Linked DNA regions of Drosophila melanogaster. Changing the gene in region 2 together with the main gene of any one other region gives a genetic interaction. Each region holds a gene or a part of one and is shown on either strand. Other genes may lie near its edges. The genes, in order: Ppt1 and Usp12-46.

Region 1 (4,054 bases), on a different chromosome or scaffold from region 2:
AACAATTATCGCGAGATCCAGCGTCCGCACAAGGATCCGGAAATCTTCTTTGCGCGCAACACCAATCCAAAGTCCAAGTTATAATGTGCTTGCCATATGACTTGGATACAATTCTACAATTCCCGCTCCCGCTGACTTTCCTTTTTCCAACCTTTCGCGCAATTTTCTCCGCCCAATCGCCTATCTAAACTATAGCTATGTGTAAACATTTATCTGTCTATGGTTGTCTGTAAGCTGCTTTTGTTATTTGCCTCATGTACATAGCGTTATATACCTAACAAAACATACATATACATACATACATATATATATATATATATATATATATATATATACGGAGTATTTACGATACGGATACGTGTATGGAATTTTAGTCGGAGCACGCGGTTGCCTTGCATTGAATATTTCAGAGAAATATCGGGCACAACTACTTAAGACATCTACAAGAGACGTAATCCTAACGTTTAAGTTATTAAGATAAACAGTGAAAGCGAGAAAAAGAGGAAAATAAGAACAGTAAATCAACACATTTTGTATGTCCAAACTGAATTTATTAAACATCTAATTAAACATGTATAAAAGTATCAAAAAGTCATTATTAATATTAAAATGCTTATGTTAATAGGAAGAATGGATTAAACCTATGCAAACATTTTTGTCACAATACGTGCTTTTTGGGCACCATCTTATTTTTCGAGTAAGAGAGGCACTATGTTCTGGATAAACCAGGCCTTGGATATGGCCAAGTGATCACCTTCGACGCCGAGAAAGACAAGTTGTCCTTGTCGATGCATCTTGTCCAGTCCCAGCTTTAGGAAAAAATGTACATTTCATATTAGAACGTTAGGTGATAGATATGCATACGTACATCCTGATAGACTTTGCTCTCAGTAAAGGGCTGGATGACTTTGTTCTGCCCAGTGGTGTAGTATTGAAACCACTGGGACTCCTTCGGCTGGACAATTGTGTCGTTTAGGAACTGCACCATCACAAATCTGCAAAGCAGAGGTTAATAATATTTGATAAATGTATAAGTATAATACGCGCTTACTTCTTAAGCTTTTGCAGATTCTCAATGTAGAACTTGTTGATGAAGAGCTCGTTGTTAATGTCCGCGAGAAATGTGCTGCCCAGGCGGTATTTGTTCTCCATGATCGGGTCGTGCCAGTAGGTGGCCTGAACCAATGCCTTCTGCACTTCACTGGGTGTATGGTATGCAAGAGAGAAGAGAGAATTAACACGGAAACGACAAGGATGGCGACATGGTGGTGTTGGATTAATAAGCATGTAAATTCCAGGAATTATATTATATTAGGATTCCTTAACAACAGATAGACTCACGGTGCGTAGGCGGCGTTGTCCAGTAGCCTCGTGATATAATCACAGGGCTTTTCGGTTAAGGTGGGGCACATGGGCAGTCCGAAGATGCCCTGGTGCTGCCCACCGAGTGTGATAAGGTTCCTCATTGGCGGATTCGGGCAACGTTCGGCAACCGCACGCAGAAACTGGCCGCCTTGCGAGAATCCGATGGCGTGGTATCCCTTGGCCAGGTGCTCATCCTGCAGTAGTTGCTTGCAAACGTAATCCACCTGTTCGTTGGGATGTATGAAGAAGCCGCTCTGCCAGTCTATCAAAACATTGCCGCCGATCTGCAGGGATCGCACATAGCCGCCCTTTGTTTGCTCCACGATCAGGTTCATAATGGCACCCAGGCTGAAGGGTACGCAGCAGGTGTCGCCCATTCCGTGCCACAGAACGACCGGCAGGACCTCCGGATTGGTTCCTCCTTTCGTCGGGCTCCACCATATGTAGCTCAGCACGAGGGAAAAGATCAGGAACAGCAAAAATAAAATGCATGAAAAACGAGAACAGCAGATAGAAATCATTGTTGTTGGAGTGCAATTTTTGCAAATCAAATTAGTCGTCTGCTATCGATAATATATGGTTCGATAATATAATCGGGATATTTCATGTACGGGATGTACCTGGTCTTATTTATACCTAAAGGTAATTTCGTACTGCGTGCTTTAACGCAACATGAAAAATACTGCAACTATTTTTCCTTTCAAGGCAACAGGCTTGACTATATAACTGTTCAATTAGGTGCATTTTTCGAAGCCCTCGTCTACATTGCTGCATTTATTGGTACTTTATTGTGCAGCTGTGAACAGAAAATTTACATTTTCCAACACTGGCGTCTAAGCAAAAGTAGAATGTTGTGAATACCCCGAACGGTAAACAAATGCTAAACAGCTGATAGCAATAACACATTTTATTCAGCGAGTTTGTTTCTTTCGATTTAAACTCGAGTTTTAATGTGGTTTACTATTTAAACGTGACAAAGTACTATTGTTAAGTATGCCAAAACACGGCTTAAGTTGTTTATAAAACCGGATGCTGGCTCATAACCTAGGTTTCCATAAAAAGCGCCTTTTTTCAAACATGAAGGCTGTTTTACAGGATCGGGGTGTCATAGGCTTATCCCTCGAAGAATGCGATTTGGAAAGAACTTTGCTTGGAGGACAGAGTTTCCGGTAAGCGCTATCCATACTAATAATGAACATATGTACTCAAAACAACTTTACATGCCAGATGGCGATCCATATGCGATGGTAATAGAACGAAATATGGCGGAGTGGTGTTCAACACCTACTGGGTGCTCCAGCAAGAAGAATCCTTCATAACTTACGAGGCATACGGAACCAGCAGTCCTTTGGCCACGAAGGACTATTCTTCCTTGATATCTGACTACCTACGTGTTGATTTCGACCTAAAGGTCAACCAAAAAGATTGGTTAAGCAAAGATGATAACTTTGTGAAGTTCTTGAGTAAGCCTGTGCGCCTCCTTTCTCAGGAGCCGTTCGAAAACATTTTTAGCTTCCTTTGCAGTCAGAACAATAACATCAAGCGGTAGGTGGTTCAATCAAATGCGAATCCCATCATTAAATACAGTAAATTGGTTTCTTCTTAGCATATCATCTATGATTGAATGGTTTTGCGCTACATTTGGCACCAAGATTGGTCACTTCAATGGTGCCGATGCGTATACATTTCCCACGATAAATAGATTCCACGACATCCCATGCGAGGATCTTAATGCCCAGCTAAGGGCTGCCAAGTTCGGTTATCGGGCCAAGTTCATAGCACAAACGCTGCAAGAGATCCAGAAAAAGGGGGGACAAAACTGGTTCATAAGCCTAAAGAGCATGCCGTTCGAAAAAGCTCGCGAGGAGCTGACACTGCTACCCGGAATCGGATACAAAGTGGCCGATTGCATCTGCCTTATGTCAATGGGTCACTTGGAGTCAGTGCCCGTCGACATTCATATTTACAGAATTGCCCAAAATTACTACCTGCCACATCTAACCGGCCAAAAGAACGTAACCAAGAAGATTTACGAAGAGGTCTCGAAACATTTTCAAAAGCTACACGGAAAGTATGCCGGTTGGGCTCAAGCTGTAAGTACACTGAAAGTTGCAATTTAGTCTGTGTGTTTCTTATAATATCATTATTTCAGATTCTCTTTTCTGCCGATTTGAGTCAATTTCAAAATACTTCCACAGTTGCTTGTAAGAAAAAATCCAATAAAAAACCTAAAAAGTGATCTTATCTATTGGATTAAAAAAAAAAATATTCCTACTTGTAATATTTGAATATTAAAATATAATAGAAATGTATATACTAATGTATATATAAATATATATCTAAACAGAGAAAGAACTTGATACTGGGTTTCATATATCTTTTTTTTATTGCTAAACAGATGTAATTGATTAAATAAAGTGTACATTAAATGTCCGTTTTGTATATACATCGCCATATTTATGTGTACAGATTGCGCTCGAATTTGAAATTTAGGATATTCAAAATGTGTTGTGTCCGTTTTAGAAATTCATCACCTAAGGAAACCACTTTTAGATACGCATACAGATGTTTAGGATATGCTTATGAAGTGGTTATTCGAATCTTTTATTGGAGTGAGCACTGTACAAGTGAAAGTTTCAGTATCTGTATCCGCATTCGTATCCGTGTCCGCATCTTTATATCTGTCCGT
Region 2 (4,991 bases):
ATGACACAGAGCCCATGACCAGATCCGCCGCATTAGCTACATATATGTGTAGTATCACCATGGTGTGCGTGCTGATGATAAGCGCACGGAGAATCAAATCGTGCGCCAGCCGATCAATAACCCAAAATGTAAACAAAACCAACTGTCGAACGCGGTCACGCATGCGTTCGAATAGCCTACTGAAATACTACCAATCGCAATTTGGCCCACTATTAGTTGGTTAACTGGTTTTCTTGCGAGGGGGAGAAGCTGACATTTCCAAGACGATCCGCATTCTATGCAGATTAGAGCCGCCACCGCCGAAAGGCAAGCGATTTTCCAGCTGCGCGAGCAGGAAACTCGTTCCGTTCGCAGGTTAATGACACAAACATTATGTTATTAATGCAGTTGCAGTATATGGCCATTAGCTAACAAAACCCCACCGATGAGCTAATGATGTACGAGCGGTCAGTCAGCAGGCACGCAATATAATCGCACTGAATTATCTACGGACAGGCAATTTCGAAACATCAAAGAATTCGAAAGAAGCTGACACAGCTGGACATGCGATGCGCAGCGAAATGGATATATTTTCAGTCTCAGTCTGCGGCAGAAGAAAGTGTGTGGAATTGAATTAACAAGACGGCAACAATTTCTAAACAAAAGCGTGTCTTAGAGGGCAATATATGTGGAAATTGTAGTAAAATTGATAAGCTCTTAAAATCTCATTAAAAATAAAACTATAATAATGAATCCAGAAGTTCCGAAGAGCATGTCAAAATAGCAACCCAGCCCTGAAGCTAACAGAAATTCAACACACCACTCGGCAGGCGAGTTACCGCTCTGGAAAAGCGATTTTCCAATGCGCAGGCTCACTCATCAGTCAGGAAATTACGGAAAAATGCGAGAGGGTGGAGAAATTGTGTGCGAGAGCGGAGCATAAATGAAAATGTGTTACAGCCACTTGGCTGGCAGGGAAGGAAGGTAGGGAATCTGCATAAACTGCCTATGCCACGTTATGATGAATCATCTGGTTGGGTTAGGCATGCCACATTTCACGTGAACTTCGGAGTGGGAGTTGGTGGAAATGGGTGGTTATCGGTGGTGGGCGGGGGTTCAGTCATTTGCCTGCCCAAAGGAGTGGAGTACATAAATGATGTATGACCCAAGCCAGACAGCGTGACTGCGGCTAATGGCAGCTGTTTTAGCTGGCCAACGACCATTTGGCAGACGTTCTACGGAAAGCATTCTTCGATTATTATCTATAATCAATACAAGAAGTTACGACAAACGACTTCCGGCATTACACAAACGAGAAAGGTTGCCCAAAATGGAAATCAATCGAGTCATTAGAAGGCGAGGGTCGCCACGCCACTGAAAATGCAAATGATTCGAAGTTTTTCTCCCAAGAACCATTGATTGGAAACGCTAGTCGAGGGGCTCCCAATCGCATCGATACGTCTGAATGCGCAGAAAAGATTTACGTGTGACTTCGGTTCCAAAAGCTTGATTATGACCACATATATTTCCATAAACAAAGCGAAGCTTTAGTCAGCGCCAAGCTCGAATTACTGTGTTTGTTTCTTTTTTTTTTTTTTTTGTATTTAACGTTTTCAGTATTTCGATATGGTGTTCCAAACGAGTTTAACGAAAAGACCTCAAAGATAGCCAAGTTAGTTCTTAGTCACTGCAAGGCACAGATACAATTCAACTTCCGCTAACTTTCATCAACAACAATGTTGAATCTGATTAAGATATCATACTACATTATTACAACGAAATGAGTACATTAAATAAGTTGGAGATTACTCCTAACATACTCTAATCCATGTTGTACAATAAGATTTAAAGTAAGCCATTAAAATGGTTTATACATACATATATCTTAGGAAAATGAAAGAGATGTTTAGAGTTACGGAAGTAGGCCTGCACTGCAGAACTCCAGTAGTGCACCTCGCTCGTGGCTAGCGATAATTATCAAGTTAATAACTCAACACTAATTAGTCAGGTGCTTTGATGGACGGTCGGGCTGGTGCGGGAGGGGCGGGGCAATGCGACCCTAGGTCGCGGACCAAAAACAAAAAGCCAGTATATCGCGCCGTCCAATGTGAAAACGAAAGCGATACGATTTTTTTTTGTCGGCGAGCAGGAAAATCGGCCGCTGGATGGGAAACGAAAATCAAAGTCGAGAAACGAAAAGCCCAGGTGGAATGCGGCGGAATGGGAAACTGGAGCTCTCGAAAGCAAACCAAATGCCAGGTAAATTAAATCGCAGCATCGGCGGCGGTAGCAAATCAACTTAATGACGATGGCTGGCAACTTTTCCAACAGTTTTTTCTTCCATTTTTTTTCTATTTTTTGTATTTTATCTGGCGATCGGATCGTGAGGTGAAATGAATTTAAGTTGCCTTTTTTAGGAGCCACAATAAAGGGGCTAAAAAATCGATGAGTGCTCAATTAACTGTTATTCGTAGTACGCCCACACACACACTCACGCGCGCGCACACATACAGATGCAGATACACTTGCAAATAAATAAAAATACATATGTATTACCTTTTTTAGTTGAACTTTTGGTGGCTTTTTGGCAATTGTCTCAACAAAACAACATCGTTTTCGCAATTGGGCCACTCCCACTACGATTTTTCGTTGCCAATATTACAATCCGGGCTTTATTTAGTTGCCCACCACTGTTAAATACAATTTACTTTTTGCAGTTATGTCAACTTCTCTCTTTCAGCGCGGCGTCCTTTGTTGTTGTCGTTGCAAAATTGTTCGTGTAAATTATGTACAATGGTGGTTGTTTCAGGTTGCAGGTGGTCTAAAACACTCGCGTTCGTTGGGTTTACGTGGTTTCGATTGCACTAGGTGCCGCACGCATAATTTGCAAATTGCAAATCGTCGTTTTCGTTTGTAATTTGGCTATTGGCTGGCTTTAACACGGAGAAAACTTTCGACGTTTCTTGTTGGTTTTCTTATAATGGTTGGATCGGCCAGTGTGTGCACACCGCGTCAAAAGTAAAACTCGGCGAACAGTTACTCGCATAGGGTGACCATCACATGGATGGTCATACAAAATAATGGTTACTACTGCAGGGCTTTGCCTGCAAATGCAGTGACATGGTCTGCCTAAGAAAGTAACAGTTCAATCACTGCTTTGCTGCCTGGGCTGCCAGGTAACAAAAAGTTATTAAAAACACAACTACTTCTCCTCTTAAGTTATTTGCAGCTAAATGGCAGAAAGTCTTTTATTTTCTACATCAATTGTAGACATTCATTTTACTTTAAAAACTATGTCCTTAAAAACATTTCTGGAATATCGATAGTTTCAGTTGACTTGGCAACCCTATTGCTGACGCCGCAATCAAAGGCCAACAAATTTGTTTACATCCAAAGAAATGCTAATAAATCATTTAATAGTCGTATTATTAATTAGTTTGGTAGGAACAGGAGGTGCAGAAGATGACGGACTTTGCAGTGCCGATCAAAAATCCTGTGCACAAAGTGAACCCGACCAAATAAACGAGGATGAATGTAAGCAACTTGTTGCCGGCTTCGATTAATTAATTAATCAATTAATTTAGTTAGCTTCAAGATACGTCGCCAGATCGAAAAAGCCAATGCCGACTACAAGCCGTGCAGCAGTGATCCCCAGGACAGCGACTGCTCCTGCCACGCAAATGTTCTGAAACGGGATCTCGCGCCCTACAAGTCAACAGGTGTCACCCGGCAGATGATCGAGAGTTCAGCGCGTTACGGCACCAAATACAAGATCTACGGACATCGCCTGTACCGGGATGCCAACTGCATGTTCCCAGCCCGCTGTGAGGGCATTGAACACTTCCTGCTGCCGCTGGTGGCTACGCTGCCCGACATGGACTTGATCATCAATACCAGGGACTATCCGCAGCTGAATGCGGCGTGGGGTAACGCGGCTGGTGGTCCCGTCTTCTCCTTCTCCAAGACAAAGGAGTACCGCGACATCATGTATCCAGCGTGGACATTCTGGGCCGGAGGACCGGCCACCAAGCTCCATCCTCGTGGCATTGGACGCTGGGATCAGATGCGCGAGAAGCTGGAGAAGCGAGCGGCAGCTATACCCTGGTCACAGAAACGCAGTCTGGGCTTCTTTCGCGGTTCACGCACCTCGGACGAACGTGATTCTCTTATTCTGCTCTCGCGCCGCAATCCGGAGCTAGTCGAGGCTCAATACACCAAAAATCAGGGCTGGAAGTCGCCTAAGGATACACTGGACGCACCGGCTGCTGATGAGGTGTCCTTCGAGGACCACTGCAAGTACAAGTACTTGTTCAATTTCCGCGGTGTGGCCGCCAGTTTTCGTCTGAAGCACTTGTTCCTCTGCAAGTCGCTGGTCTTCCATGTGGGCGACGAGTGGCAGGAGTTCTTCTACGACCAACTAAAGCCCTGGGTGCACTATGTGCCGCTCAAGAGCTACCCCAGTCAGCAGGAGTACGAGCACATCTTGTCCTTTTTCAAGAAAAACGATGCGCTGGCCCAGGAGATCGCTCAGCGTGGATACGACTTCATCTGGGAGCATTTGCGCATGAAGGACATCAAGTGCTATTGGCGCAAGCTGCTCAAGCGATATGTGAAGCTGCTGCAATACGAGGTTAAGCCGGAGGATCAACTTATTTACATAGGGCCTAAAAAGGATGAGCTGTAGCGAAATGAAATGTTATTGTGTTTAAGCATTTCTCATTTTGTATTAAGTTGCTTAGAGCAGCGTGAATCTCTCTGTCCGCATTCCATGCATTTTTGATGTCCAAGATTTAGAGAACAACTCGAATATTTTCCTATTTATATATATAGCATTTATACAATCTTTATAACAATCGAAAGCCATTTGTTTTAAGACTCAAAGTTTAAAATATATTTGGAAGAAATATGTAAATTCTCTTTAAATTTTAATTATGACCCAGCCAAGGATATGCTTTTTAGTTGGAGCCCTAATCCTCTCCTGCACTTGCGTTTCGTGCTCCAAGGACAAATGC

The links.
Region 1: of Usp12-46 (region 2) and Ppt1, changing one suppresses a phenotype caused by changing the other (phenotypic suppression), as found in Drosophila melanogaster (one study listed by BioGRID).

Annotation. Positions count from the first base shown.
Region 1 is NC_004354.4:8,688,094-8,692,147, forward strand, and holds Ppt1 (Palmitoyl-protein thioesterase 1), read right to left. Parts: upstream 2,135-4,054; 5' UTR 1,986-2,134; intron 1,954-1,985; exon of another isoform or gene 1,926-1,953; 5' UTR 1,887-1,925; coding exon 1,342-1,886; intron 1,202-1,341; coding exon 1,052-1,201; intron 996-1,051; coding exon 869-995; intron 810-868; coding exon 687-809; 3' UTR 534-686; downstream 1-533. Other genes in the region: CAH3 (carbonic anhydrase 3), read left to right, coding at 1-84; Ogg1 (8-oxoguanine DNA glycosylase), read left to right, coding at 2,395-2,534, 2,593-2,910, 2,972-3,458, 3,518-3,604. UniProt on the Drosophila melanogaster protein: Cleaves thioester-linked long fatty acyl groups such as palmitate from modified cysteine residues in proteins or peptides.
Region 2 is NT_033777.3:22,748,911-22,753,901, reverse strand, and holds the start of Usp12-46 (Ubiquitin-specific protease 12/46), read right to left. Parts: upstream 3,002-4,991; 5' UTR 2,536-3,001; intron 1-2,535. Other genes in the region: rumi, read left to right, coding at 3,378-3,513, 3,564-4,663; CG31139 (uncharacterized protein), read left to right, coding at 4,911-4,991. UniProt on the Drosophila melanogaster protein: Catalytic component of the Usp12-46 deubiquitylase complex.